3 linked regions of the Diceros bicornis minor genome follow. The protein of the gene in region 1 purifies or fractionates together with the protein of each later gene. This does not show direct contact. Links are inferred from orthologs where the notes say so. Each region holds a gene or a part of one and is shown in the gene's direction. Other genes may lie near its edges. The genes, in order: MRGBP, MBTD1 and EPC2.

What was found.
Region 2: the proteins of MRGBP (region 1) and MBTD1 purify together in Homo sapiens (affinity purification with mass spectrometry; 4 studies listed by BioGRID and IntAct, counting the BioPlex papers as one, with this or other methods). This does not show direct contact. The link is inferred for Diceros bicornis minor from reciprocal best matches to the Homo sapiens genes MRGBP and MBTD1.
Region 3: the proteins of MRGBP (region 1) and EPC2 purify together in Homo sapiens (co-immunoprecipitation; 4 studies listed by BioGRID and IntAct, counting the BioPlex papers as one, with this or other methods). This does not show direct contact. The link is inferred for Diceros bicornis minor from reciprocal best matches to the Homo sapiens genes MRGBP and EPC2.

What each region holds. Positions count from the first base shown.
Region 1 is NC_080758.1:1,346,958-1,356,637, reverse strand, and holds the start of MRGBP (MRG/MORF4L-binding protein), read left to right. Parts: upstream 1-5,669; 5' UTR 5,670-5,684; coding exon 5,685-5,832; intron 5,833-6,869; coding exon 6,870-6,991; intron 6,992-8,923; coding exon 8,924-9,005; intron 9,006-9,298; coding exon 9,299-9,373; intron 9,374-9,680.
Region 2 is NC_080757.1:35,216,582-35,226,389, forward strand, and holds the start of MBTD1 (MBT domain-containing protein 1), read left to right. Parts: upstream 1-4,803; 5' UTR 4,804-4,975; coding exon 4,976-4,996; intron 4,997-5,623; exon of another isoform or gene 5,624-5,687; intron 5,688-9,704; exon of another isoform or gene 9,705-9,803; intron 9,804-9,808. Other genes in the region: UTP18 (U3 small nucleolar RNA-associated protein 18 homolog), read right to left, coding at 83-181, 2,193-2,305, 3,900-4,241. UniProt on the Homo sapiens protein: Chromatin reader component of the NuA4 histone acetyltransferase complex, a multiprotein complex involved in transcriptional activation of select genes principally by acetylation of nucleosomal histones H4 and H2A.
Region 3 is NC_080749.1:32,911,593-32,921,862, forward strand, and holds the start of EPC2 (enhancer of polycomb homolog 2), read left to right. Parts: upstream 1-5,374; 5' UTR 5,375-5,642; coding exon 5,643-5,795; intron 5,796-10,270. UniProt on the Homo sapiens protein: May play a role in transcription or DNA repair.

The sequences.
Region 1 (9,680 bases):
GACCAGAAGGTAATTCAGGCAAAAGGCGAAGGATCATCCGACAAAATACTGGACCTCTGGTTAAATTTGAATCTTAAATAAACAACAAATAATGTTGGCTATAAGCCTATTCCGTGCAATGTTTGGGACACACATACATGCACAATCCATTGTTTATCTGAAATGCACATTGAACTGATCATCGTCTATTTTTATATGTTCAATCTGGGAACTCCCAGAGAAACCAGACCCCGCTCCGGGAGAAGTGACCAGCAGCTGAGCCCAGCATCCCTGCCTCCCCACCTCCTCAGCCCCGCTTAGACCTGCAGGTGACGCGGCGGGGACGGTGACAGTACCAGGCAGGGTGCTGTGAGGGTCAGTGGAGCTGACCACAGCCCTTGGGCCATCACAGCGATTCCTCATACGCCCATCTGAAGAATTGGACTTCCTTCTCAAAATGCTGGGACTGGTGCCCTGGGGGCGGGCCAGGTTCCAAGGGAAAGGAAATGCCTTTACTTGGTTCCTTCTGAACCAGGAGCCGGGGTTTGGGTCCAAACAGTGGGCGGGAGTCGCCCTCTAGAGGTGGGATGTGCTGGCTGCAAGCCTCTCCCGGAGCCGGATCAGAAATCTCTGCCACCCTGGCTGGCGGCCACTCGGTCCCCCGGCACCTCACCTGTGAGGACCCCAGCCCGGGGACATAGATAACTTAGCTGTCCTCAGTGTCCGGGCGTCTGAGGCCCGAGGGTGGTCCGTGGTCGAGCAGATGGACGTGGGTGAGCTCTTTCCTCCACGTCAGCGTGCTCCTCCAGGCTCCCCGGCGGGAGCACTGGCGTATGCACCAGGGAGGAACAGCCCTCAGGGCAGGACCAGCCATGCTGCGGTGGAATTCCACTTCCCTCCCAGAGACTCAGCCAGAGAGGAGGACGGTGTGACCAAGGGCATGTGGACACAGGGTGTGTGGACACAAGGGCATGTGAACACACAGGGCATGTTTGATCAAAGCCTTTCAAGCACTCCTTCCACTGGACCCAGCTGTTGTGACCAAGAACCAGGTGTCCCCTCGGAGGTGGGGGACAGGTGCCCTCTGGTTAGTGGTGGTTACCACCTTCGAGAGATGACATCAGCAACCCCCTTGGTCAGAACCCAGAGGTGGTCTGGGGAATGAGTCACACTGGCCAAACTCATACAAGACCGATGTATAAACCAGAAGGCTTGTTTGTTTGTTGACTGTGAGAGAAGTCCCTTTCCAGGGCCTAGGTGTTTCTCACCTAAGGTCCAAACCCCCTATTCCTGGGATCAAGGTACTTGGGAGGCCAAGTGCATCTCTTGAAGGAAATTTGGGTAACACAGGTGGGGGAGTTCATTCAGTCACAATGATCAAGGGAGTGCCCAGGTCAGTCAGTCAGTCAGTTCATCAACAAATGGTTATTGTCTACCTGCTGTGTGCCAGGCCTTGCCTGGGAGGTGGGGCCGGTGGTGCAAAACCAGAGCAGCCCTGACCCTGGTGCCAACTGATAGCCTGGCAAGGAAGGTGGACACCGAACGAGCTGTCACCAGTGATTTGTGATGACAGGCAGGTGACGGGGTGCCCCAAACACTCGATGAGCAGTAGGACCATGATGGACCAAACAGGACCCTCTTGTCTGGGGCGGTAGAGCCCCCCCGGGTGGCAACCTTGGACCTGAGAGTTGAAGTCTGGGCAGGAGAGAGGGGGCACAGGGGGAGAGAGGCATCTGTGGCCCCAGGGTCTGGAGGGTGGGTTGCCAGGGGGAGCCCAGGTGAGGATCCAGGGGAACCAGAGCAGGTCAGGCCGGGCAGGCCGGGGAGGGAGGTGGGTCCTGGAGGCGTGGGTCTGGAGGTCAGTTCCTGGCCCTGCCCTTGATCATGGGACCATGGCAAGGTTCCTCACCCCGGGAGTCTCCGCGGCATCTCCCTCAGAGAGGGGCCATGGGGGGAAATTCATGATGAGAGGAAATTCACAGAGCAGGTTCCCACCGAGCCTGGGTCTCCGTGTGGACGTGGGACCACCGGGGGTCCCACTGTCCCAGGTCTCCTCACCCCGGCACCTGCCTCATTCTTTGCTGACTTCTTTTATGGACAAGGAATATGCCATCTTTTCTCAATAAATAGATAATTTCACAATATATACAAATATCGAATCATTATGCTACACACATGGAACTAACAGAATGTTATGTCAATTATACCTCATAAAAATAATTAGATTTATTGTTTATAACGATTGCAAATAACATATCGCATGTCAGATTGTTTCATTTAATTCTTTGAATAGGTAACTCATTCATGTGGTTCAAAAACCCCAGCATATAAAAGACACAGGAAAAGGTCTCCTTGCACCCCTGCCCCGGCTGCCCACCCCGGGGGCCACAGTTATGTGTGTCCTACCTTCTAGGACGGATGGATGGATAGATGGATGGAGGGATGGATGGATGGATGGATGGATGGATAGGTGGACGGATGGACGGATGGACAGAGAGACAGACAGACAGATAGATATAGATAGATAGATGACAGATTTCTTTTCAAAGCTTTTTTGCTCTGTATCCATCGATTCTTACTTGTCTCTCCCAGGACTTACTTCCCTGAGCCTTCCTCCTCACCACACACACGCGCACACGCACACAGACACCCCTCCCCCCTCCATGTCCCTAACGTCACTTCACCTCTCTCCACGAGCCTCCCTGGGCGCTTTCTCTCTCGGCCAGCCCATAGCCGCACAGGGGGCACCCATCCAGCCCCTCCCTCTCTTTACACGTGCAGGGCAGGGGAGCCACCAGGTCTGCCGCCCACCCAGGACCTGGCACGACACTCGTCACGTTACTCTACTTGCTCGGTGCAGGTTACATCTGGCCCTGTGTCCCCAATGTCAGATGAAGAGGAAACAACGTCTTTTTTACAGGGGCCCTGCAGGTCTAGATGGCCCAGAACGTCCAGGGGAAGCCCTGGGTCCTAGCCGGCCGCTGTCAGCAAGTGCCCAGGCCTTCAAGGTCCCAGAGTGGGGATGCTCTGTGTGCCCAAGCCACACTCACTTTGTGTGCTGAGACGGGGAGCACGAGGCTCAGAGTCAGCCTCCCACCACACCCACGGCCTCTCTCTGGAGCTCTGCCGCCCCAGGAGCTGTCCTTGTCCCCAGGAAAGGTCCTCCTCTTCTCTCAGCTCATCCTGCACGATAAGATCCCCACCTTCCTACTCCGTGTGAGTCTGATCCCCAGACGATGGGCTGTGAGGAGAGGCACCATGTCCACGCCCTCTCCATCCCCCGTGCCAGGCAGCAGGAGGTGCTCAAGAGACCATTGCCGACCACTCCCCGGGCGACCGCCCCCTTCCTAGGCAGCCGTGCCTTCATCCCTGCATAACACCCACACCTGCCTTCAGAATCAGGGTGGGAAGAAACCGCTCATAACGGAGGAGTTGTCCTCAGCAGCTCTCTGTTCATCAGCTAAAGGGGCTTCCTTCAGCCTAGAGCCTCGTGATCCTCCAGATGGACACACACGATGTGCCCACACACATCATCTCTCTATTCAGCTGCATTTCACTTTTTAACCATTTTTCCCCATCTTATTTTGAAACCACTCATCCTAAAGAACTCCCTGGATGGCCCAGTCACCCATGCAGGATCACCAACACAGTCAAGGGTTGGGTATCGCTCTGAAGCCTATTGTCCGATTCACCAAAACCAAGAGGCTGACAGCACAGTCACAGTGGTGATCCGGAATGCCCATCTGGAAGCCCAGCCTCCTCTCTGGTTCCAGATTCCTTAATCTTGCCTAAGTCTGGCTCCAGCTGTGCTCACATATGTGTAAAAACAAGGACGAACGGTATTAGGCAAAGTCCTGGCAGGTGAGCACAGCGTTCAGCTCCATCCTGATTCTGAGCATGGAACCCACAGGCCGAGTTTGTTCCACATGCACTGGGGAAGCAAAGAAAGGAGGCAGCTCCTGGGAGGCTTCAAGTAAGAAAGACATGGAGAAGGTGGTTTCCCTTTGCCCAAATCATCCAACCTGTCTGCGTCAAGTCTGATCCCCAGATACACACTCCAGGATCTGCCTATAGCAAAAGGAACCAGGCATCCGGGGACCACAGCAGCTGGCCCAACACGGTTCTGACACACAGGACAGCGAGGACCAAGACGCAGCCCGGCCTCCTGAGCCTCCAGCACAGTGAGGAAAGGAAACGGGCACAGGCCACTCCGTGCAGGGCAGAAGAGGCCGAGGGCCCTGAGAGAGGCACAGAGAGGGGCCAAAGCTGCTCTGCGGGGCTCAGCGGCACCTTCCTGGAGGACCAGGCTCTCCAGACTGAAGACGGCTGGGATGGGGTGGGGATGAGCAGAGAGCGAACCTGGTCAGGGAGCAGGGACCCCACAGTGTCCAGGGAACAGTAAGGAGATTTATTATGCCGAGGGCCACCATCTGTTGAGCACTTTAGTGCGTGAGGGAGCCTGTGTTCAGTGGCTTCGAGCTGTGCTTCATTCCAGCCTTGCAGCAACCTGCTGAGGCAAGGGCCACTTGTGGGTCAGGGCAGAGGAGAGGAACACAGGCCAGAATCACAGAACGTCCAGCCACATCTCAGGTCCACATGACTGCTGGGGGCCCTGGGCCACTGCGGACCCCTCTCTAGGCCACCCATCCCGCCCCCCCCCCCCCCCCCGGTAGCATTGTGGGGACAGCCCCCTTCACAGATGGGAAGCCAGCTGGCCCCACTCTGAGGCCGTCCCAGGGGGTGAAGCTGACCAGAGCCAGCACCTGCTAAGGGGCAGCGCGCACCAGTGTGGCTCCAGCTGTGTACCAGGAAACCCGAGCGCGTGTCCGGGGCTGGCCGGGCCCGGGGCGCCCGGCAGACGGCGGGCAGGGCAGCCAGCCGGTCAGAACCCCTGGGGGTGCGCCGTGTGGTCCCCCTGCCCCGAGGAGGAAACTGCGGCCTAACGAGGCGCAGCGCCTGGCCCGGCCCACACAGCCAGCCCCCGCAGAGCCGGAAGGGGACCCGGAAGCCCGACCGGAGTCTACACCCGGCGGCAGGGAAGAGCGCTCTGCCCCCGGGTCCTGGGCGGACACCGCGTGGGCGGGTCCTGGCGGGAGGGGCGGGGCCTGGTGGGGAGGGGGCGGAGCCGGCGGCCTCTATTGGGTGCTGCTTTGAGCGCGTCACCAGACTGCCTCAGGCCCCGCCCCAGACCCTGCCGGCTCCCGCCCAGGCCCTGCCCCCACCGTCCCCGTTAACCCGCGAGGCCCCCCTGCGGGTCACCCCCGAGGACCGCGTCACGGCGGCGGGGCCCCTGTCGGCCAGGGCAATGGAAGCCCTGGGAGCCCACGCCCGCGGAATTGTCAGTTGCTCGTTCTTCTTCTCTTAACGCTCCACGGAGGTGTGATTTGCAATCCCGCCCTTCGAAGCGCTCAGCTCAGGGCGGCGTACCCAGAACTGTGCAGCCGCCGCCACGCCCTCATTTAGAGGCTTCGGTCCCCCGCCCCAAACGCGCTCCGTTTCCGCGATCCGCCCGTTCTGCCGGCGCTGCGCCGCGGGGCCGGGCCGCCAGGGGGCGCGGCGAGCCAGCCCTCAGCTGCGCCTGCGCCGACGCCGCGCGCGAGCCCGAGCGCGAGCCCGCCGAGAGCGCGCCCGCCCCCCGAGTGCGCCTGCGCGGAGCCGTGGCCGCGCCCGCTCCCGCCGGGGGCTCGTCGCTGGGCGGCCGGGCCATGGGGGAGGCCGAGGTGGGCGGCGGTGGCGCGGCGGGCGACAAGGGGCCGGGCGAGGCAGCCACCAGCCCGGCCGAGGAGACGGTGGTGTGGAGCCCCGAGGTGGAGGTGTGCCTCTTCCACGCCATGCTGGGCCACAAGCCTGTCGGTGAGCGGGGCGCCGCGGACCCGCGTGGGGGCGGGGCGGGCGGGCAACGGCCGGGGCGCGGGCGGGACGGGGCCTGTTGCACCCCCACCCCCGTCCCCCCCGCGGACCCTGTCCCTCCTGCACCCTCCACCCCTGTCCCCCACCCGCGGACCCTGCCCCTCCTGCACCCACCCCTGCCCCACCTGCACCCTCCACCCCTGTCCCCCACCCGCGGACCCTGCCCCTCCTGCACCCACCCCTGCCCCGCCTGCACCCTCCACCCCTGTCCCCCTCCCGCGGACCCTGCCCCTCCTGCACCCACCCCTGCCCCACCTGCACCCTCCACCCCTGTCCCCCACCCGCGGACCCTGCCCCTCCTGCACCCACCCCTGCCCCGCCTGCACCCTCCACCCCTGTCCCCCACCCGCGGACCCTGCCCCTCCTGCACCCACCCCTGCCCTGCCTGCACCCTCCACCCCTGTCCCCCACCCGCGGACCCTGCCCCTCCTGCACCCACCCCTGCCCCACCTGCACCCTCCACCCCTGTCCCCCACCCGCGGACCCTGCCCCTCCTGCACCCACCCCTGCCCCACCTGCACCCTCCACCCCTGTCCCCCTCCCGCGGACCCTGCCCCTCCTGCACCCCCGTGCCTGTCCCCTGCGCGAAACCTGCCCTGTCTGCACCCACTCACCCCTGTCCCCTCCTACACCCACCCTGTCCCTCCTGCACCCACCCACCCCTGCCCCTTCCGTCACCCATCCCTGCCCCATCTGCACCCACTCACCCCATCTCCTCCTACACCCACCCCTCCCCACTCCTACACCCACCCACCTGGCCACCCCTCCTGCACCCCCACCCTCTCCTAAACCCACTCCTCCTGTGCCCCACCCCCTGCCCCCCCTTTACCCCTCCCTCCTCCTACCCCCATCTCTGCACCGTCCTACACCCCCACCACCTCCTACACCTCACTGACCTCTGCCCCTTCCCCCCCACCTACTCCTCCTCTCTTACCTGCTGTGCTCCCCCCCCCCCACAAGCTGACCCCTTCCTCCTGTAGGTGTGAACCGGCACTTCCACATGATCTGTATCCGGGACAAGTTCAGCCAGAACATCGGTCGGCAGGTCCCGTCCAAGGTCATCTGGGACCACCTGAGCACCATGTATGACATGCAGGCCCTGGTGAGCTGACCCTTCCCTCCCCAGGCCTTCCAAGGCCAGAGCCCCGCCTTCCCCAGACGGATCTGGCGGCAGAGTTCCCCCTCCATGTCTCCTCCTCGAGGATGTGCTGGGCCCCTGTCCTCATGTCCTATGGACGTCCCCTGGGGGAGCACATTAACAAGATAGCTCAAAGTAGTTTTACAAAATACAGAAATCTAATAGCTGGTTACCCGTGCAGAACTGTCTCAAATTGGGTGGTTAGTGAAGGTCTCTCTAAGGAGGTAACTAGGAAGCTGAGGCCTGTGGGGGCCCCTTAGGCCACTGTCAGTCTTATGGGACGGCCCAGAGGCTCCAGGCAGGAAGGTGACCAGATGTAAGTCACATTAAGAGGAACAACGGTGAGCACCAGGCAGGCAGGGAGGTCTCATGGAACCCCCAGCCAGCTGTGTGGGCAGGTGAGCAAGTTACCTGGGTAACCAGGATGGCTGGAAGAGACAGGTGGTTGTTCTGGCAGAGGAACGGCAGGTGTCAAGGCCCCGTGGCAGCAGGAGTTGGTGGGTCAAGGAGCTTAGAGAGGCCAGAGCACCTGGAGAGTGGGGTGAGAGGGGGTTTCGGGACCAGAGAGGTGGGAACCTGTGCCATGGTTAGGGAAGGCTCTGTCTCCCCCTGGACTCGGGGCTGCACCTGCCCTCCCGGCTGAGACCTGCGTGCGCGTTGCTGAGGCGGAGAACGCTTGCCCCGCTCTTGCGTCCAGATCCTGCTGTGCCACTTCTTTCTGTTGGCTTTGGGCGAGTTGTTTGCGTCTCCTTGTCATAGCATAGAAAGGGGATAAAGATGACAGCTGTGACCTGGGACTGACCGCCCGGCCTGCAGCAAGTGCCCTGGAAACTCGAGCTGCTGTTGCTGCGTTGAAGACAAGCTGCTAAACTAAAGGAAGTCCTCCCGGAGCGGCCTCGCTCTTGTGAATTCCATGCCTGTCACGTGGGGTCACTGGGTCCCCAGGCACCCTCCGCGCCCTGACTCCAGGCTGGTGGGGGCTGGATGGATGCTGGACACAGATGAGTGCAGCAGGGTCCCTGTCCTGGGGGAGCCCCTGTCACATGGGAGACAGACAGACAGCTCTGAGCTGCAGACACTCGCTCAGAGGAGCCTGTAGCTGTGATGCCCAGCATGGGGCCCACGTGACACTCACGGAGCTTCAGGGTGCTGCTCATTGAGGACTGGGCAAGGCCTCGGGCCTGTCATCTCCTTAGACCTCATCACCACTATAGGGCTGCTGATGCCAAGTCATCCAGGGCCTTGTAAATATGAGTCCCTGGACCCCACCTACAAGGTGACCCGTGGGCCCAGGAGCCAGAGGGGCTCGCAAATGTTGGTCAGCCAGCTCAGCTTTCCCTTCATCCAGCAGTCTGTGTTTCCGGGGTCCCTGTCCCTCCTGGTATGTGTGACCTGCAGGACGGGTGGAACCGCATAAGCATTCAGGGTGCCTTGCTCCACTTTGCCTTCCTTACCTGGTTTCTGTGGAGGTGGCTTTCCCTGCCAGCAGCCTGGCTCCTGCCACGTGGATGGGCACCGGAGGCACCATGGCCTTCCCTCAGGGCTGTCACCACCCTCTGATCGCACTCTTGGGGTGAGGGAGCCATCAGTGGGGAGCCTGGCCCTGTGACAGCTGCCCCAGCCTCATCTCAGGGGACTCCTGCCGGTCCCCCAAAACTGCTTGCACTGCAGTTTTTGCTTCCTCTGAGTCTGTGTGAAAAGCCCAGCCCAGTAGACCCCACGAGCAGAAAGAACAAAGTCTTCACCTGCTTGGCGCCCACCCACTGCAGCCCTCTAAGACAGCTGTGAGCGTTCGCTGGCTGCTCCTGAATTGGCTCTTACACGTTTTTAGTGACTTGCTAAAATCACATTTTCTTCGTTTCTTAAAAAAAAATAAAACACCCTATTTGCCATCAGCACGAGTCTGAGATTCTTCCATTCCCGAATCCAGAGAGGAACTTCGTCCTTCCAGAAGAGATCATTCAAGAAGTCCGAGAAGGTGAGACTCAGGTGGGGTCAGATTTGGGAATTAGAGAAGATGGGACATGGTGTCAGGGTGAAGGTCATGACCTCAGGGAGAAGCGAGGGTCGCTGATGTGATGCTCCGTCCACCTGGATTGGGGAGGCCTGGGGAGCCTCCTGGGATCAGGGAGGACTTTGTTCAAGAACAGTCAGCATCTTTAAAAGCGGCCTGGCAGCAGCGAGGTCCATACACCTCCCAAGTCAGGAGCAGCCCCAGCCTGAGCCACCCCCAGGTTGGCTTTCGGTAACCACCAGCTGTGTCCCCCACAGGAAAAGTGATCATTGAAGAGGAAATGAAAGAGGAGATGAAGGAGGATGTGGACCCCCATAACGGGGCCGACGACGGTAAGTGTGGAGCACGCCCCACCTCTCCCCTGAGGCCCGGGACACGGCACCCCACCCCCTGCAAGGCCTCCCTGCAGGGCGCAGCCGCATGTCCCCAGCCTGTATTTCAAGTCCACTTGTAGCCATTGCCGCTCTGCCTGGTTCAGCAGTTGTGAAGGCAGCTTCCGTCTGCCCAGGCGGGAGCCTCGGCGTGCGTGGAGGTCTTGCACGTGGCCAGTACCGTGAAGAAACCACAGGGCAACCTCGGGCACTGGTGTCCAGTCAGGTGGACAGTGTGCAGTGCAGGGGGCCCGACTGGAGTCACACG
Region 2 (9,808 bases), on another chromosome or scaffold:
TTACAGCCAAAGACTGAGTGAATCGAAATAAACTACTGTTATAAATATCTCTTGGTTAAATCACATGATAAACGACACTTACTCTTCTTTAAGTCTCTTCTGAAGTTCCTCTTTTGAAAGTTTACTTTCACTGGCATTTTTCATCATATCTTTCCGAAAACGATTGTTCACCATGTCAACCCTATAACAAACAGAACAGCATGCTTTAAATGATTTTTGAAGAATCAACGTAAATAGTTGGTGCCTTTAATATTTTGGGAAAACATTTAATTGAACAATAAAGGTCAAGATTTGTAAGATGTGGAACATCTCACATGCATATTCTCCAATCTTTCCAAAACAAAAAGCAGTCTCCAATATTTCAGATCATCTAGTTTACCCTTTGAACAGCTTACATTTCAAATTCATAATGACTTATCTAGACACAGCTTATGCCATTCACCAAAATAAATTCCAAGCAAAATAAAGAGTTAAATACATAACAACCAAATCTTAAAATACTATGAAGGAAAAATACAGGCAAACACTTGTCTTTCTCTGATGAAGGATTTTTTACTGTTAAAAACAGCAAAAAAAAAGAAAAGATTCATAAATTTGACTATATAAAAACGTAAATATTCTGAATGTCAAATATTAAAAACAAAATTAAAAGGCAAACAGAAAGCTGGGAGAAAACCTGCAATAAATTTGACAGATAAAGGTTTGAAATTCTCAATATGTAGGGAGCTGATATATGACAATCATTAAGAAACAGTCTCATCCTGCCATTTTTGACAACATGGATGAATCTGGAGGACATTATGCTAAGTGAAATAAGACAGACACAGAAGAAAGATACTGCATGACCTCACTTATATACGGAATCTAAAAAAAGTAGACTACACAGAAGCAGAAAGTAGAATGGTGGTTACCAGGGGCAGGGAGGTGGGGGAAATGGGGAGATGTCGGTCAAAGGATACAAAGTTGCAGTTATGTAGGATGAATAAGTCTAGAAATCTAATGTACAGCAGCATGACTATAGTTAATACTATATTGTATACTGGAAATCTGCTAAGAAAGTAGATTTCAGGTGCTCTAACCACAAATAAAAATAGTAACTATGTGAGGAGATAGATATGTTAATTAGCTTGCTGTAATAATAATTTCACTATGTATATGTAGAGCAAATCATGTTGTACACCTTAAATACATACAATTTTACTTAAAAAATAAAATAAATAAAAAGTAACAGTCTCCAATAATCAAAGACATAATAGAGAATACTTTTAATAAATACCAATGACTAATAACAAAAATGTTTTCTCAACACAAATTAGGTAGCTATCTCCCACCCCTTAAACCGACAAAGTCTGAAGAAAGATAAATCATTGCTTATAAGAACGGAGTGAAAAGGCAAACCTTTCAGTGGGAAGGTCAACTGGTAGAACCTCATGGTCAATCTGGCAGTATTTATCAAGAGCCTGAAAAATGTCTGTGCTCTTTGATTAAGTATTTCCACCTCAAAGAATCTTTCTTAAAGAAATAATTAGAAAAGTGGAAAAAGGTTTATGCATAAAGATGTTTATCTCATCATTAATTTATTAAAGAGAAATATCAGAACATCTGTCCAACAACAGCTATATAAATTATGGTTAATTCATACAATGGACAATAATACACTCATTTAAAAATGTTGATAGAGGCTTTTTTTTAAAAGCAGGAGAAATGCTTGCAATACAGTAGATTCTCATCTATTAAAGTACATACTGTGTGCGCTAGCTAACTTTTTTTTAGCCTTTTCTCGGTTTCAGGCATCGTGCAAAGAGCTCTACATACACTATTTCATTTAATCTCAAGAGCCTTCTGACATAGTCACTATTATTACCTCTATTTTACAAACAAGAAAACAGAGATTCTAAACATGCCCACAGTCAGTTAGGAACTGGCCAAATTGGGAGGCAAACTCAGGTCTGACAGCAAACACTGCTGTCCTAGCTATTCTATACCGCACTGAAAAGACGGGAAGAGAAGTATGCCAACATGCTATCAGTGGTTCTACCTCAGCGGTGGGATTATGAATGACTTTTCCATACTTTCCAGTATTTTTCAAATCTTCACATAATCGCATATTCTTAAAAAGAACTTTTTTAAAACCTGCAAAATAACTTTTAAAGTACCCACAGGGATTCTGGAAGAAAAATTATGCAACTTACATTTCCTCATCTTCATCTTCTTCATCCACCCAAACCGGCTTCTTCTGAGGTGGAAAATTATCTTTTGCTTCATTCTCCACTTCCGAGTCACCTGAGTCTTCCTGTACTTCAACCTAGAGAAGACAAAACCCCCTCAAGCACTGTTTTTCATATCCTGTGGTGGCAGACAGACACATTTTGTAGTTAAGATAGCTTACAGAATGCTCTGTTTTTTACAGCCCTCTCATGAAATAATGGGACAGAATGCCACCACAGCAAATGCTGGAGGCAGAAGACAAAATGAGGAGACTAGAGAATGTCACCACACGCTGGACAGGCGAGGTAAGAGGGAACAGTCAGGGAGAGAATGTCAACATGCTCAAAGGAAAACACCAAGTAAGACAAAAACAACAAAAGGTAAGCAGACAGATGAAGGAGCAGGAAAAAATCCACAACTGCAGAAATTACGGGACCAGAGGCAAACTAGCATCCAAGACAAAATAACATGATTGAATGTCATAATTAATTAGGATTTCATATTCTTAGACACACATCTCCATTTTTCTTAAGTTCTTGACCCCCTACCTCCTTAAGAAACTTTATACTGTACAATCAAATCTAAATCCAGACCACAGAACATCCCCTGAAACATGCTTGATCTTTCCCAAAACCACACGATGATTTCTACCTACTCTATTAAAGACCTACGATCCTTCAAAACCCAACAAATTCCACCTCTCATAGACCGTTTTCCTGACTAGGAAACTGTCACACAGTCCAGTAGTTCTTCTCTATCTCCCAACTAGATTTCTGCAGCTTCTCCCATAAGCACCAAAGGAGGTTCTGGCAATCAGTTGATACTTGCTAGGTCCGCCTTCATTTACCAAACTGAGTCATTCTCAGCGAGGCTTTGCCTGACCACCCTACATGAAATTTCACAAGCCTCCTCAACACACACTTAGCTCCCTTTCCCCAATGCTTTCTTTCTGTCTTAAGCACTTGCCACTGACATAATGATTTTTACTTATCTCCTTTATCTTCTGCCTTTGCAACTAGTACATAAGCAGGGATTTTGGTCTATTACTGTGTCTCCTCCAGTGCCTAGAACAATGCCTGGGACTCCCTACCTTGGAAGAAAAGCCACGTATAGATACAAGGGGTGATAGAAAGAGTAGAAAAATTATAATCAATTACGCAGGATTTTCATCGCCAAAAAAAGTATCTGGCACCCAGCGGGCTCACAAATATTCGTTGAATAGACAAATAAGCACACGGTCATTCTCAAAAGCTGGCGAGACTTGGGGAGATGGTTAAAACGCAGATTCCCAGGCCCGCGCCCGCAAATTCCGATTCTACAAATGAAGCGGAACTCCCGAATCACGGCAAGATATTGATGCAGGTGATCGAACAACCACGAGGGAAGAAACCCTTCGGAGTAAGGATGGGGGAGCTGAACGCGAAAGATGCTCACGACCACAGTTCGCGAAACAAAGACGTGTTGAGCGCCTGCTGCATACCAGGCGCGGCGGCTCACCCGGGGGCGGAGAAAGGCGCGGTCCCCGCCCTCCGGAGACTCACTCTGGCATCCCCGGCGCCCGCGTTCTCGGGCTCCCTCCCACCTGAGGCTCCCCGGCGCCGCAGGTCGCCCAGACTCCGCCCCCGGAGGCTCGCCGCCCACCGCGCGCCCCGCCCGAGCGCGCCCAGCCCGCGCGCCGCGGCCTCCCTCACCCGCGGGCCTCGCAGACGCCGCAGCAGCGCGTCCTCGTCGTCCTCGACGTCGCCGAAGACCAGCTCCTCCAGGCACCGCTCCACGGCCGGCTTGTCCTCCTCCAGCGTCAGGCGGTTCCGCTGCCGGAGCCGTCTCTCCTCCTCCGCCGCCGCGACTGCCATCGCAGCGGCCGCTGCGCTCGGCCGAGCCGGCGGTTTCCGCTGGGATGAAGGAGCAGCCTTTCGGGGAGGCCCGCCTGGCCCCGCTCCGGTTCTGCGGTCCGGCCTCATTCGGGTCTTCCGGTCCGGCCTCGCTCCGGTTCTTCGGTCCAGTCTCGTTCGGCTCCTCCGTTCCGGCGGCATCGTTGGGTTTGAGAAGAAACGCAGGAGCTCACGTGGAACCTCACTGCGCGTGCGCCGAGGCGCCTCCCTGTCCGCGGCGGCTGAGGCCCCGGGGGGCCGGAAGGAGCCTGCGCAGCCTGCTACCACGTGACCAGCACTCTCTTCCCTACGTAACGCCCACTCTCCTCACGTGCCCCTCCCCGTATGGGAGTTCCTCCGGGAGGACCAATCTTCCGGGTGGAGGGGGAAGCGGCGTGAGCGGAGTGGAAAATTTTTTCCAACACATCGTCGCAGCTGCAGCTGATTGAAAGGAGCACAAGCAAGCCAGAGTATAAACTGAGATGATCGCGCGAAACTTCTGCTCCTCCTCCTGACTTGTTAACCAGTCGACTTAACACGAGCCCCAATTGCCTTTCCCCCCCCTTCGTCTTGGTACGGCCCTTGGAGTACGGAGCCTGCAGAGGGTCCCACGCTGGAAGAGAGAGAGGAGGGTATGTAGGGAAGTGGGCCAATCGGGGCGCGGGTCACGGCGCAGGCGCGCTGGGGAGGGAGGGCTATGCTAATGTTGTTGATATCCTGGGGCCACCCGAGTTAAAGGGGGGAAATCCGGGGGCTGCCGCAGCCGCCACCGGTCTGGGCCCAACCGGGGGCCCCCTGTAGTCGCCGTAGTCCCGGGGAGAGGCGCCTGCCCCCAGCTCGGGGAGGGGGCGCCGCTGGCCCGGGGAGCACGGACAACCCCTACCCATGAGGCCCTGATGGAAAACACAAAGGATCTGGTGAGAGCCGAGCGCGGCAGCCGCTTTGTGTGCCAGGTGGGGGGGACGCCTGCAGCTCCCGACCCCCAGGAACCCCTGCAGCTCCCTGACCCCGCTCCCAGGCCTGCTTCTCCATCTCACGCCCCCTCCATCTCCGGAGCCCCCCTCCCCCTACCGGCCGTTAAACGATTCAGGGGTTCCCCTCCCCCCACCCTTTCAGCCCCGGACTCGTCGGGGTTCTCTCTAACCCCCTCCACTCTCTGGAAGAAAAATTTTAGAAGAAAGTTTTTCTCTGCGTCCCGCCTCCCCTACCCCTTCAGCTCTGGCTCGGGGGGGAAAGGCTGGATTTGAGACTTTTCCTTTTTTGCCACCCAGGGTGGGAGAGTGTTCTCACTTCCCCCAGGGGGTCATAGTTTTGGTGCTTTGCAGGGGAAGGCGCCTGTCCGCTTTGGGGCGAGTGCTGCGAGGCATTTTGCACGTGGAGGTGGAAATCTTGAAAGGGGGCGGGGTGGGCAGATGTGGGAGGGAGAGGTGGGAGTGGTGTTTAGGAAGCAGCCGCCTGGGCCGCTTATTTAACAGGGTTCTAAGTCGGTGGGCTTCTATGACCGTTGCGTTCTCTTGTGTGAAATAAGAATCCTAACATTTCAGAGTCGGAAGAGACATTAGAGGTCACCCAAAGCAGCCGTCCCCTCTGCAGCCTCTCTGACAAGTGGTAGGTAGTCTGGCCTCTGCTTAAACCCTACAAACACTGAGCTTTCACTGCTGCCCAGGAAACCCAGTGCGTTTTTCAGTTGTTCTCGTTGTTTGTCTGCCCTTATTAGACCCTTCAGTCTCATTCATGTGCTTGTTAAGTTGCTCCGTTTTTTACTTCTCAAATTTTCTCTCACATCCTCCTCACCCACCCACTGCTCGTTGGCCTATATTTTGTGTGCCAGGAAAGAACAGCAGGGAAGTGGAGGAAGGAGGATTTGAGAGATAGTGAGGGCCAGCTGAAAACTTTGCTGGGTCAGTTTCAAATGTGGTGGCTTATATGTCTGAGAACCGCTATTTTTCAACAGGAAGCTTGGGAATTACGGTCTGGGATTTCGTGGCTGTTTTCTCTCGCTAGTGCATGTTTTCCAGGTTAGAAATTTCAGCATCATCTGTATAGTTCTTGTGTCTGAAAGCACATTTGCCTGTTGCCTAAATCGCTCCCTAAGGATGCCTAAAATTGCCTCTTGGGGATAGTACTGAAGCTGTTAGAAGCATGTCCTGGTAGAGGGACGGTCAGTAGAAGTGCTCCTCCTTCCCCTTCTTGACCTATGTGTTCCTTTCAAGCTGGACTTCCTTCTCAGGGCCCCTCCTTCACAATGCTTTCGTTTCTTTCTTTTCTTTTCTTTTCTTTTTTTTTTTTAACTCTTAGGAGATTTGGAATTTTTGTAACACTTTAGTAGTTGCTTAGAGTTTGCAATGTTTTTCATGCTCCTTACATTAGTAACACCAGTATTTATCACTCAGTTGTTGAGATAGTTTGGTTCTTGCTATTGTCACTTAGTGTTTTTCTAATGTTCTCCTTCATTTGGTGAGCTACGTTGCCTCCAAAAGTTTTATTGGTATAAGAATCTTGGGGGCACATAGTTTCTTCTTCCTAATATGGTAAAGTGGGAGTCAAGACATAACAGATAAAATGTAGAAGTCATGAATCTGGTCTAAAAGCCAGAGAATAAATTTCAGTTTAAACACCCGGTCCCCTGTTTAAAATGTTAGAGCAGAGGCCTTTTTTTCTCTCTCCCGTTTATGACTTAGAGACTGTTGCTCTGCTCTAGTGTGCTTAGGCTGTATTTTTTTTTTTCCCTGTTTGTTTACCTCAACACCAATGAGTGTTTAGAAAGAAAATAGCTGTCTTTTTTTGCACCACCTCCTCTGAATAACAAGTAGCTTCTATTTATATAAAACCCCATCCTCAAGGCTTCTGGTGCCTTGCAAATTATGGCAAAAACTATCTTGAATAAGTATCTGTTCATAAGTATGTTATGTTGGACCATGTTTTTTAACATCCAATTTTTAATTTTATACAAACTTTGACTTATAATATTTCCTCTAAATCTAGTCACTGGAATGTAACGTGGAAATGAATACTGGATACTGAAAAAACTGATAGAGCTGTATAATTCTGTCTTTAAAGCTGTAATTAATGAGTTCCAAGTTATTTTCCTGCTTACTTTAAACATGAACTGTCATGACTTAAGTTGACTGACTTTGGAGACATTTGCATTCTAAAGGTACTAGACAGGAACAACTGGTTTTATTTTTAAAGAAGACAGTGTTATAGTTTTTATGGCTGGTTATATGTTGACCTGATTAGTGTCTAAACTGTCCTAGATGTTCAAATGCTTCTAATCCTTCAGTTACACTGGAAATTAAAGCAATTTAAGTTGTTTTAGAATATAACATAGTAGTGAAAAAAAGGTAAAACTATAGCTTAGACGTGAAAACAGCATATTAATGTCATAAATACTAAACCACTAAATTACTATGAGCCACAAGTACTCAGTAGTTTGAGTGACCACATTCTAAAATTAGACAAGTCACTATCCTTTTGGTTGCTCTTTGTTTCTCTATTTTTCATCCTTAAAATGTTTGCTAAATAAGATTTAACCTTTTCACATTTATAGTTTTAAGGTAAACCAGTTAAAAATGTATCATTAGTTTCAGGATTTCAAATCCAAGAGAAAGATAAAAACATCAGGACAAAGAAGAGGAAGGACTTAAAATAGTTAAAACAAGCTAAGATATGCCTGCTAACACCAGGGTATTCTTAACTGTCCAAGGTTACCTTTAATTTTATACCGAGATGGCAGATTGGTTTAGATTTAATCATGATTTTTTAATAAACCTTTTTTTTTTAGAATTTTTTCCGCATAAATTTAGAATGTCTCTTCTTGCTTTGCTGGAACCCATAAGCAAGAGTGGAAAGGAAATAATTCCATTTGAATACACCCTGAATTGAGGTGGAATGGAGTGATATAGAAAGAGGGGCACTGGGAGACTAGTATAGAGTTTCAGTTCTGCCACTAACTAGCTTCCTGGCACTTGTTGGACAAGATCCTGTGCCTCAGTTTTCTCTTCCTCACAGTTGAAGGCTTGGTCTAGAATCAGCATTGTCCAGTAGAACTTCCTGCAATGATGGAAATGTCCATCATTGTGCTGTCCAGTAAGGTAGCCAGTAGCCACATGTGGCTATTGAGCGCTTAAAAGGTAGCTAGTGTTGACTGAGGAACTCAATTTTTCTATTATTATTATCATTGATTTAATCAGTGTGAATTTCAGTAGCCACGTATCTGCCGTATTGGACATGCAGATAGAGAACAGGTATTTTCCAAGCTTAACTAATCGCTAGAGTCTCCTCCTGGGGCGCTTGTAAAAATACAAACCTTTCCCCTGGAGGTTACCATTCAGAGGTCTGCAGTGGGGCCTGGGAATCTGTGTTGTGTTCTTTTTTTGTGTTTTGTTTTTCCCCAGAGCCCCAGTACATAGTTGTATATTCTAGTTGTAAGTCCTTCTAGTTCTTCTGTGTGAGCCACCACCACAGCATGGCTACTGACAAACGAGTGGTGTGGTTCCACCCTTGTGAACCAAACCCAGGCTGCACCGAACTTTAACCACTAGGCCATCAGGGCTGCCTCTGGGAATCTATGTTTTTAATGCAGGCCCTGGAAAGTATTTTATCAGATTGGTTAGGGAAACACTGCATTAGAAGATTTCTGGGCTCCCCTCTGGTTCTCACTTTAGTATTGATAACTTAAAATTTGGTGTAGTAGAAATGAGCTCTGGACAGAGTTGGCAAACTGGCCAGGCTCTAGCTCTGCCAACTCCTGACCTGTGATCTTGGGCAAGTTGGCTCATCTCTTGGAGCTTCATTTTCCTCATCTAAAATATAGGCCAAACATGAGCCTTGCCTCCATCCCAAGGTCCCTCCAGTCAGGTGTGATGACCACTGTATAAGAAAATGTAAGCTGCTGTAAATGGTAATTAAAATGTTAAGATATCGTCCCAGAATCCCTTTTTCTTTTTCCCTTTTCACTGTATTTTCTAATTCCTACTTCTCTTCGTAGAGAGCTGGTTGTATACAGTGTTCATTAGTTAATTTAGTGATTTCTTGTCCTCCGAACTATTTGGTCATCGTTTACAGTCTAGTCATAGGGCATGCATATTAAATCTAGCACTTTTTTGTCTTTCTGGTGCTTAGCATAATGATTTGTATATATTGCTCAATAAATATTGGATACTGCCATCTATTACTTTACTTTTAGACTTTGGAAGTTTAATTAGCTAGTTTCAGATTATTTTATACACCAGAGAAATACCCCCCTTGTGTACACGTATATGTTTTACCTTATTTTAATTGTTGCATCAATACCCTATAGTTATTATCGTTCAATCATTGTGTATCTTTTGAGCAATGGCTCCAAATATATTTTTAAAAGATAAACACCAAGAGAATATCATCATTTTACATCAGTGTATTTAGGTTGTATCACTGAATAATCTGTTTAACATATTGTCACTATATTAACATTATAATAAATGATCTAGTTTGATTGCACAAACTACATTTGCACTGCAGTCCCAGCCTTAGTATGAATTCTGTTATGTGGGGTAGAATTGGTAGCTGATAATGACCTTAAAGATGCTCTAGGCCACTGTGTTTCAGACTTAATTTTGACATGGTCATCTTATTTTTAATTAGCTTTTCAGGTTCATACTTAAGGATTCATAGCTTTCTTCTGAAGAACTGAAAGCCCGTTCATGTGAATTATTTTATTTTATCATACATCCTTCCTGTGTGGTAAG
Region 3 (10,270 bases), on another chromosome or scaffold:
TAGGACCAGGAACAACTGTAAATCTCCTGAGCAATCAATTTATCTAATCAACATTGTGAACTGTGAAGCTGACAAGGTTTCCTATTTTCACATGACTACGAAATTTCACATCACTAGAAAATTTAGAGCCCAAATGCTATCCTCACACATTTTACCTACTCTCAAAAGTCACCTGAAATCCTTTCCAAAACAAGGTGAAGGGTGTGGGTGAGTCAGTAAATATCTAGGTAATTAGTGTATTTTATTTTAATGGTTTCTGTTTCTTCCTCTGCCAAAGTCATCTTTAATAGCTGATGAAAGACAAGTAGACCTGTTTTCCAATTTGGAGACATGAAGTTGCTTTCCTTTCTGCCTCCTAACAAGTCACTCTGCAGTTTAGGGGGCTTTCAGTATGCTAATTCCAGAGGTTTTTGTTTAGGAGCTCTCAACATGCTAATACCAGAAACTTTTCTTAGGAAACAGGCTATTTTGTTCTTGGGAACAACAAAGATAAGATCAATAAAGCATGGCTGTTACTAAATCAATTTGCCAATTTTTTAAAATTTAAGATTCCAACTGTGTATTCCATTCACAAATCTGTGCTTATAAACAGTAGTTCTTTGATGGTGGGAGAGATAAAAAACAGGTGAGGGGACCCACATTTAGAATAGCAACCCAAGGTTCCTAACATCGGACTCCCTTTAGCTAACATTTCGGACCCCAGTGGGCTCGGTGCTCTGAGCCTGCTTTAGCTGCCTGAGATGTGCCAGCACATCAGTGGGACTGAAATGCCTTCACAGAGAGAGAGAAACCACCTTCCAAGTTACCTTTCAGAGATGCTTAAGGAGAAAAGAATGCGCCGGTGGAGGAGGCCAGGGAAGGCAATTGAGAGGAAAAGATGTTCTAGGAGACCTAAACCAACAGGAGATGTGCACCTGTAGCCCCAAATCCCCAGGCTCTCCACTCCAACTCCCTACTGAAAATAATATGAAAGGTCCAGCCAGTTTCATGAATGTAACAGTGGCTGCAGCTGAATGGCAGCTGTGCTGAATTTAGAGAAGTGTGGATTTTCTCAAGGGCAAGGAAGCTGGATTGGAAAGGATCCTATTTTACCTCCTGTGGCCTTGCTCCAACAATTGTTTCCTTGTTTCAAATTCAGCACTTTATTAAAATAAGTAGAATCATATTCGATGGAAGCTAGTGACTCTCAGAAATCCAAAGTCCTGAAATTAAATCTACGTAGTTCACTGGCTGTCTGGACACAGATAATTGTCCTAGTCAGATTCATTAGCTCTGTCACAAGAGCTTTACTTATTTCTGGTATCCCCACGCAAAAGCTTGAGTGAGTGGTGTCAATCTATTCCATGTGTGGGGATTGGGTGTGTTTTCCGGTCAGAATGGGGAAACAAATGAGACAGGCTGTCAGCGTGATTCAAAATTGAGTGTCGTGGACCCTCTGGAGCTGTGTGTTTGCAAATCTGTTTCCTTCAATTACATCTGTCTCATTTTTTCCTTGGTTAATAAAATACAGAGTTTTCGGGCTGATTATTTTTGAGCCTATCTGGATCCTTTGTGGAACTGGGAAGTAAATCGTCAGCTTATACACAAGGTGGCACCCTGTGATTCCAACCAGGTCTGAGAGGAGCGATGCTGCTAAGAGACCGAGCCATAGCCACAAATTTTTATTTAGCGTCTGGTTTTCCCACTACGGTAAATATAAAGGTGGAAGTAGATGTTTGGCATGTCACCACTGAGTGCAGTCTCCCTCCCTATGTCTCAAAGATTCAGAGTTGCCTCAGTAAAGGGCACTGGAACCAGGGGGCTGATTCCAGTTGATTGTAATGAAAGCAGACCCCACATTCAGATTACATATGGAAAACAATGAAGCTTTATTGGTACTGGGCTCATTCCTGGGAACATAAGGGGGAGGGGTGGGGATGCAGTCCACATACCAACCCAATTAACTTTCAATTGGGTTTGCCGAAATAGGGAGCCAATTAGAAAGAATGTGACATTTACAAAACTCTGAAATAACTGAATAACAACTGTGTTTACTAGTATTAAATTTCCTTTCAAAAAGTAATTTATTATTTGGAAGCTGCCTGCCCTGACTGTAATATGGGGAAATGGAAACTGGAATATAATCCCAATTCTTACACTTACTTGATCTTTATTCTAATTTAGACTACATGTAGACAGTGGTTTTATTTTTGATATGGCTTTAAAACTATTTTTAATTCTTGGGTGTTGTTACACTACACTTGCTTGGCTAAATGCATGTCATTTGGAATTGGTCCAGAGCATATTTGAAGTGGACAGATTTGGGAATGACTGTACTCAGTGCATTGTATGTGGAAATTAAAATAGGCTATTAGGCTGCACAATCATTTGAAACAGGTTTTGATAAAGATATTTTATAACAGGATCTACTTCAAAAGTTAAAAAGATATTTTCTGTTTTTAGCACAAACAAGTATATGGGTATTCAACAAATAGATTAGAAATAAACTTTATGAAAAATAATATTTGTATACAAATAAAAGCTACTTTCCAAATGTGAAACAGAGGCATTCTGGTTTGGGCACTGAATCGGAAGCCAAGAAAACACAGGCTGTGTCTCACTTAAAAAGCGTATTGTGTTATTTGCCTCAAACTGTTTTATTCCCAGCTATAATCATTACCTACAGGGCAAGAGGAAAGTGGAGATTTGGGGAAGAAATCTGTTACATGGTCAAAGAAAAAGAACAACAAAACAACAACTACTCCAGTTAAAACCTGTTCCTCTAATAGAATTTCAGGTTTCAAAAAAATTTCTTTGAATTGCTTTAATTGGTTCTAAAATTCCTATGCCCAAAGGTAGGAAGCTGGAGAGAAATGTAGGCCATGATAAGAGCGAGTATGGGCAGCAATGGCTAGGTCAGGTGACAGGCCAATAAGGTAGGTGAACTCCAAGCTGGAGTGGAATGGGGTCAGTGTCACTGAATTTCTCTAGGGAATATCAGTCAACAGATATATATTAGGTGCCTGCTATGTGTGAGGCACAGAACTAGGGATACAGTGAATAAGGGAGCAGATGTAGTTCCTGCCCTCCTTGAGGCTATCGCATCTCTAGGCTCTGGGTTATGCACTCTATTGGCTATTGGTTAAAAAGTCTCAGTAATTTGGATCAGCAACTTTAGAATGTTGAATGGTCAATAAACCGAAGAGCTTGGACAGCAGCTTGGCAATGTGGAGAAAACAAGAGTTTTGGAGTCAGGCTAGACCTGGATTTGAACCCAGTTCTGTGAGTTATTAGTGTTGAAACTTGGCAAATTATCTGAGCCTTAGTTTCCTTATTAGTAAAATTATAATATTTCCTCATAGGGTTATAATGAGAATTAAGTGGACTGCAATTAATTGAGATAATATATATAAAGTACCACTATAGAGACTGGTATATTTTCAATATTCAATACTTCCTTTCTTGAGACAGAGTAACAATAAATACAGGGAATAGAAGAAAGCTATCCCTTCTGAGCCTGAGAAGTGCTGGGCACTCAAATAAAAGCCCTGGATGACTCATTTCTTCAAACATCGCTTCCCCACACCTCCTCCCTTTCAGGCTTGAATCCAGTGCTGACCCCTTCCCAACAACGTCTTGTTCTCCCTTGCAGAGAACTGGAACTGCTCCAGAGGGTATCGCTCAGAGCAGGACATGCCTATAAGCTTGAGGAAGGTATTGCTTACAAGAAGTGAGTCACAGCATCTCCATTGTTTCCAACAACAAAGTGGATGGAAAACACTCAAGCCCGGCTAAACAATGCTGGAAGTCTTGCTGGGCCAAACAGTTAGACTATTTAGACACTGCCATGAAGTCCATATTCATCATTTTGCCTTCAAAGCGGGAGGTGGAGAGAAAAGGGAGGAGGAAGAGGAGGAAAAAGGGAGAAGGGAAGACGTGGATGAGAAAGAGGAGGTAATGGAGGAAGAGAGTTTTGATGTCATACAGAAATGACTGCAGGAATCAATTTTTTTGACTTCTGGACTTCAGAAACCATCTACTTTTCTCAGAGCTAGGCAGAACATTAATCAATTATTAGAAATGGTAACATGAGTTACACTCTTCCAGGGATTTTGTAGGAAAACTGTAATGCTTAAAGACTAACCAAGAAACTTGGTTAAATGAGGTTGATGTCAACAATACCTGGTACTTATTTGAGTCAACTTGATTTTCCCTTCTCTTTAGAACTTTCTCTAACCAGCTCAGGCTAAAGTAACGCCTCCTTTCTCTGAACTTTCCTGGCAATTATTGCCAGTACAACTCATTTGGTAATTAATCATGTTCTAGTGCCTGTGTCATCTTTCTTGTATAGTTTTCTTCAAGTACTTACTTCTGCTATCATTTATCTTTCCAGTTGCCTTGTTCTTCAACTATTTACATCTCTTACTACTATCCATCTTTCCAACCGTCCTGTCATCCCAATAAGGTGAACGCTCCATGAAGGCAGGAACTTGATCTCAAACTTCTTTGAGTCTTCCACGGCACTCAATGTTTTACGCACATCTGCCACTTTGGAAATGTGTGCTGCCTTGGTTAAATTTTATAAGTTTAACTCTTAGGAAGGCTAATATTTTTGAAGTCAGTATCCACCATCCACTAAATAACTCTATGAAGTTTGGGGGACAGGTTCAAGGGCACTTGTTGCGTCTGGCAGCCTCAAACATGAACCCTCACTGCTGCCATTAGCATCCTCCCCGCGAAGGCGAGGATGCCTTACCTTGGAGAGCTCTTTCGGTTAGGTAGTGAAGAGGGGGTGCGGGAAAGAGGGCTGGCTCTGAGTGCGCGTTTTCGGGGCGGGCGAGACGCGGCAGGTCTGCGCCCCTCTGAGTGGGCAGACGGCATGGACCTTCCGCACGTCCCGGGGACGCGCAAATTGGAGGATGCGAATTAGCCGGCGCTCGCGGCGCCTTGGAGATAAGCGCTTTATAAGTGCAGGCTCGGTGGCGGCTACTGTGGCCCTGGTTGACGTCTCCCTTTCCCGCTCACACACTTCTGCACACACGCGCTGCTCGGCGCCTTCCTCCCGGGCGCCCAGCGAGAGGGCTGTCGCGGCCGCGGAGACAGAGGCGCACGCTCGGGGGCGCGGGTTAACTTGCGCACCTGGCACCTGCCACACGGCGAGAGCGCCGGCCGGCGAGCGGAAAGCCGCCGCGGCCGCCGCCCCCTTGTGCCCCAGAGCGGCCGGAGGCTGAGCACGCTCCCGCGGGCCGGCCGCGCCGCGGAGAGAGTGGGTGGGCAGGCGAGGGAGGGGAAGGGAGAGGAAGGAGGGAGGGAGGGAGGGCGAGGGCGAGGCGCGTCCCCGCGGCGGGGGCGCGCTCTCGCGCGGGCTGCCGGGATCGCTCGCCGCCGCTGTGGTAATGTCCGCCATGTTGGCCATGGCGCAGGGAGCGGATCGGGCGGGCGAGCGGCGGATCTAGTGTGTGGAAGCGGCCGCGGGCGGCGGGGGGCTGTTTTCGGGCGGGGTGGGCGCCCATGCTGTGGCCGGGGGCAGTGAGGAGGAGGAGGAGGAGCGGGCCGGCCGCGCTGCACTGAGGAAGGAGGTGGAGGAGGCGGCGGGAGTCCTCCCCCCCTCCCCGCCCGCCCCGCCGCCGCCGCCCGGGCTGTTCCTGTAAGGCGGGGAGACAATGAGTAAACTCTCCTTCCGAGCGCGGGCGCTGGACGCCGCCAAACCGCTGCCTATCTACCGCGGCAAGGACATGCCTGATCTCAACGACTGCGTCTCCATCAACCGGGCCGTGCCCCAGATGCCCACCGGGATGGAGAAGGAGGAGGAATCGGTAGGGACTCGAGTGTTTATTACCCCCCCTTCCCTCCTCCCCCCTCCCTTTTGTCAGTCGGGCCTCGCCATTCACAGAGCGCTTTACGCTCGCTGGAGGGCGCCGCTGCCGCTCCAACGCATGGGACTCTACGCCGGCGGAGTAGCGTAAACCCTCTCGGCCGGCGCAGCGCCCGCCCGCGGCCGCCATGTTGTTGCGTCCCAGTGTTGTGATTAGCTCGCAGCGCTGCTTACGCTGCCGTAAGGGGGCCTTGCCGTAAGCGGCGGCCGGGAATGGCGCAGGGGATGTTCTGGCCGCACTTGGCGTATGGCCTCTGTTTACCTTTTTTTTTCCCCCCTCATTCGGCGCGGGGTTGATTAATGGGCGAGGGATCTTTTGATTAGGGAAGATTTTTTTTTCCCCCTCACTTAAAATTTAGTTTTGCACTGGGTTCTCTTTGAAATGACTTATGGAAAGTAAAGCGCTTTCAAAACACCCGTCATCTTTCTCCTAGCAAGGTAATCCTCGCTCCCTGGCCCGCGGTGGTGCAGCGGGGAGAGGCGGTGCAGCACTGCGGCGGGGGAGGCGGGGGCCGCGACTGTCCAGCGGCATGTAGCGTTAGAGAGCTGCTGACCGGCCGGCTCCGCGGCCCCGAGCGGGACGGCTCTGCCTGCCTGCCTCACCGGGATGCGCCAGCTCAGTGCGCAGCGTTAGGAAGGAAGCGGGGATGCTCAGCAACGAGCTGCCGGCGCTGCGCTATCCCCGTGCCGCGTCTCCGGTGATTGTCATCGGAGGGGGGGGTCTTTTAGAAGTTGAAGATCTAGTGCATGTAAATTGACAGTTGCATTTTTAATAGTACAGCGCTTTTTGGCAAAAATGTTGCTTTTTTCCTCCCTGATTGGTTGAATTTTGCATACGGTTGGATTTCATCTGGCATGACAGTGTTTATGACTCTGGAGTGGTGTTACTTGCGTGCGAAGTTCATAGTAACTGCACCCTCCAGAATTTCTTCAATGAACCTGCGGTCCCGCCTTATTGTCAACCCCGGGTGTGCGTGGATTGGTTCTCTTGCTTCTGTGACTGTCAAAAGAAAGCTCGAGGTTTCTGTGATTGGTTTTCTCTTTTAACTGTTAATATTGCAGGAAATGCTTTTATGCCTCTGATTGGCTGCTCGAGTTCTGACCTCATTGTATTACCCTGTTATTACTAATCTTTGCTGTGATTTAATCACATTTCTCTTTAGTGTTTGATTGCTTGAATGTTTTGCACTTTCAGTAGAAAATGAATATGGCGGTAGTATCAGAATGAATATTCAACGTTCAACTTTTTTTAAATAAATAAGATGAAAACTCGACGTTTATCCTTAAGGTTTAGAGATAAGTACTTCCTGAGAATTCTTTTTGTTTTTTAAGTAAAAATTATTTCTAACTTAGCTCATTTTTCCATGGGAAAGATAATTAAGAAAGTTGTAGTATGTACAAGAATTAATTGAATTAAACTTTAAAAACCACCGGTTTGGATTCCAAAATGTTAAATTTCTGTTAGTTATTTTCTGGGTTTCGACCCCAAAAGAAAAGTGGCTTATGAGTCTTAAAGTATCAATAATATATGTAATTACTTGGATCCTATTATTTTGTTTTGGGAAGAATTTGAATCAAGAAACTTGTTCTAGAATGAACAGTTAGCCCCTGGACGATGTATTAGGTTTTGCAAACAATGATTAGCTATACTTAATTATTGCTTTAGGTCCTTAGTTTGTCACGTAGATCTTGATATTTTATCTGAATTTAGGAAGAAAATTTGCAGTTTAGTTTTTTTTAGTGATGTATTAAAAATAAATGCTTAACGTCATCACAATTTTGTACTATTGACTTTTTCAGTAAAACTTGTGATTTTCAATCTAGAGCATGAGTGCTAAAGTTGGATTATTTTAAGTAGCCTGCTTCAACTGCTCAATTTTAGGAAGAAATCCAAATTCTGGTAGAACTAGAATTGAAACCTAGGACTTCTGACTTTTTGTCCTGTCTGCCTCTTTAATGTTCAAGTGGAGGTTCTTAAAATCAAAACAAAACTAAAGAATTCCTGACAGTTAAGATTTATAAGTCTTTTGCTTCCCAGAATGTCCAATTAGGGTGTTAGTTTTTTCTTTTTCTTTTTTAAATTAACATGTAAGTCAGAAGACTTGTGCTTTCGTGAGTGACAGCCAATTCAATTCTCCCAGTCATAATTACAGAACTTCTGTTATTAAGCAGAATTATTTGCTCATTTAAAGAAAAATGTTTTGCTTTGATAAACAGTTCTAAGCAGCAGTAAAATATCATAAATTTCAGAAATATTTTGTGTTTCACTAGAGTTGTATTTCAGTTTAATTTCCATTATCAACATGTTCTAACTAGTTACCTTTATAAGTTTTTTTTTTTTTTTTTGAGGAAGATTAGCCCTAAGCTAACATCTGTTGCCAATCCTCTTTTTTTTTTTTTTTGCTGAGGAAGGTTGACCCTGGGCTAACATCCATGCCCATCTTCCTCTACTTAATATGGGACGCCGCCACAGCATGGCTTGATAAGTGGTGCCTAGGTCCATGCCAGGGATCCGAACCCGGGAACCCCAGGCCGCCGATGCAGAGCGTGTGAACTGAACCGCTATGCCACCGGGTTGACCCCCTTTCTAAGTATTTTTTTTTTGTAAACATAGACTTGTAAAAACAACAACAAAACCCTTCATTTATGGATTTATAATTGTTGCTCAGCATTTCTAAACTGTCCACAATATGACCCCTTTCCTGCTTGGTTGGCAGAATCCTTTGACATGGCTTTAACACCTTCATTGGTCCACTGCCCCCTTCCCACTCCCCCCCCCCATAAAATTAAGGACTGTCTCTGTGTAGCCATTGGACTATCATTAGTCTTTGTTTATACTGTCATTGACTCAGGTTTGAGTTACGTTCTGACAATGCCTAGATGAGGTAATCTAGGTGTTCTTTGGCATTGGTAGCACTCTATCATTGCTGACCATATCATTCTTTTAGCTCTCTCTTTCCTTTTGAACATGCAGGCATCTTTTACTTCTTTTATTCCCTTTCCTTATTTTCATTGTCTTTAGCCTCAGTTCTGCCAGTTGGCATCTTCCCCATAACTTGGTCTCGGTAGTGCTCCTGATGCCACTTAGTCTAGGTCAGATACTGTAAACTAATGTTTATTTAGAATCTAAACCAGAAAGATCAGGTGATCAGTGATTCTGCCACCTTCCCATGAGTGTTGTGTATTGGTAGTTGATGTTTTTAATAATATTTACCATTTTTTTGAATACTTCTTACGCCCCAGGTGCTAGGCGCTTTACCTATATTATTTCATTTAATCCTTTTTTTTTTAAATAATTTTATTTATTTATTTATTTTTTCCCCCAAAGCCCCAGTAGATAGTTGTATGTCATAGTTGTACATCCTTCTAGTTGCTGTATGTGGGACGCGGCCTCAGCATGGGCGGAGAAGCATGCGTCAGTGCGCGCCCGGGGTCCAAACCCGGGCTGCCAGCAGCAGAGCGCACACACTTAACCGCTAAGCCACGGGGCCGGCCCTCATTTAATTCTTCTTAAAATCCAACTTCTTTGAGATATAATTTACATGCAATAAAACATACCCATTTAAATCATAGAGTTCGATGAGATTTGACAAATGCATGCATCCATGGAAACACAGCCGCAATTCAAACGCCCAAAAAGTTCTCTTGTGTTACTTTGCAGGTCAGTCCCTCTCCACTGATAGTTCTTAGCAACCGCTGATTTGCTTTCTCTCACTGTAGGTTAGTTTTGCCTTTTCTAGGATTTCATATAAATGGAATCATACATATTTTTTGTGTCTGGCTGCTGTTGCTCAGCATAAGGCATTAAAGATTCATCCTTGTTGCATGTATCAGTCCATTCCATTTTATTACTGAATAGTATTACAATGAATTGATATACCAGAATGTCTTTATCCATCCATCTGTTGTTGGATATTTGTTTTCTCTAGTTTTTGCTTTTCATTTAATATTCTTGTAACAGCCCTATGAGGTATTATAGTTCCTGTTTTATAAATGAAGAAGCTGGAGGGTCTCACTGCTAATAACTGACAGGCCTAGAATTCAAACCCTTGCCTTTAATGTCACAAAAGCCCATTCTCATAACCTCTGTGCTTCATACTGACGTTTTACAGAACCCTGAATTATCTTTTGAACTATTATAAAGTTCATTATAGTTTTTGTAAATATTTTTTACTTTTTATAATTTTGGAAACTTCAAAAGATATTGATTTGATTGGAATATTATTAAGAAGTGTAGTTTTTCATCACTTACTTGCTGACTTTTGCTCTTGGCTTTTCAGATTTTCTGTGTTTTTTTTCTTAGCAGTCTGTTAACTTTGCTTCTCTCTGTATTGGCACTATTATGTTTATCTAAGTGTTTACGTTATCTTAAACATGTAAGAAATTTGTAGGAAACTATCCTATTTTATTATATAG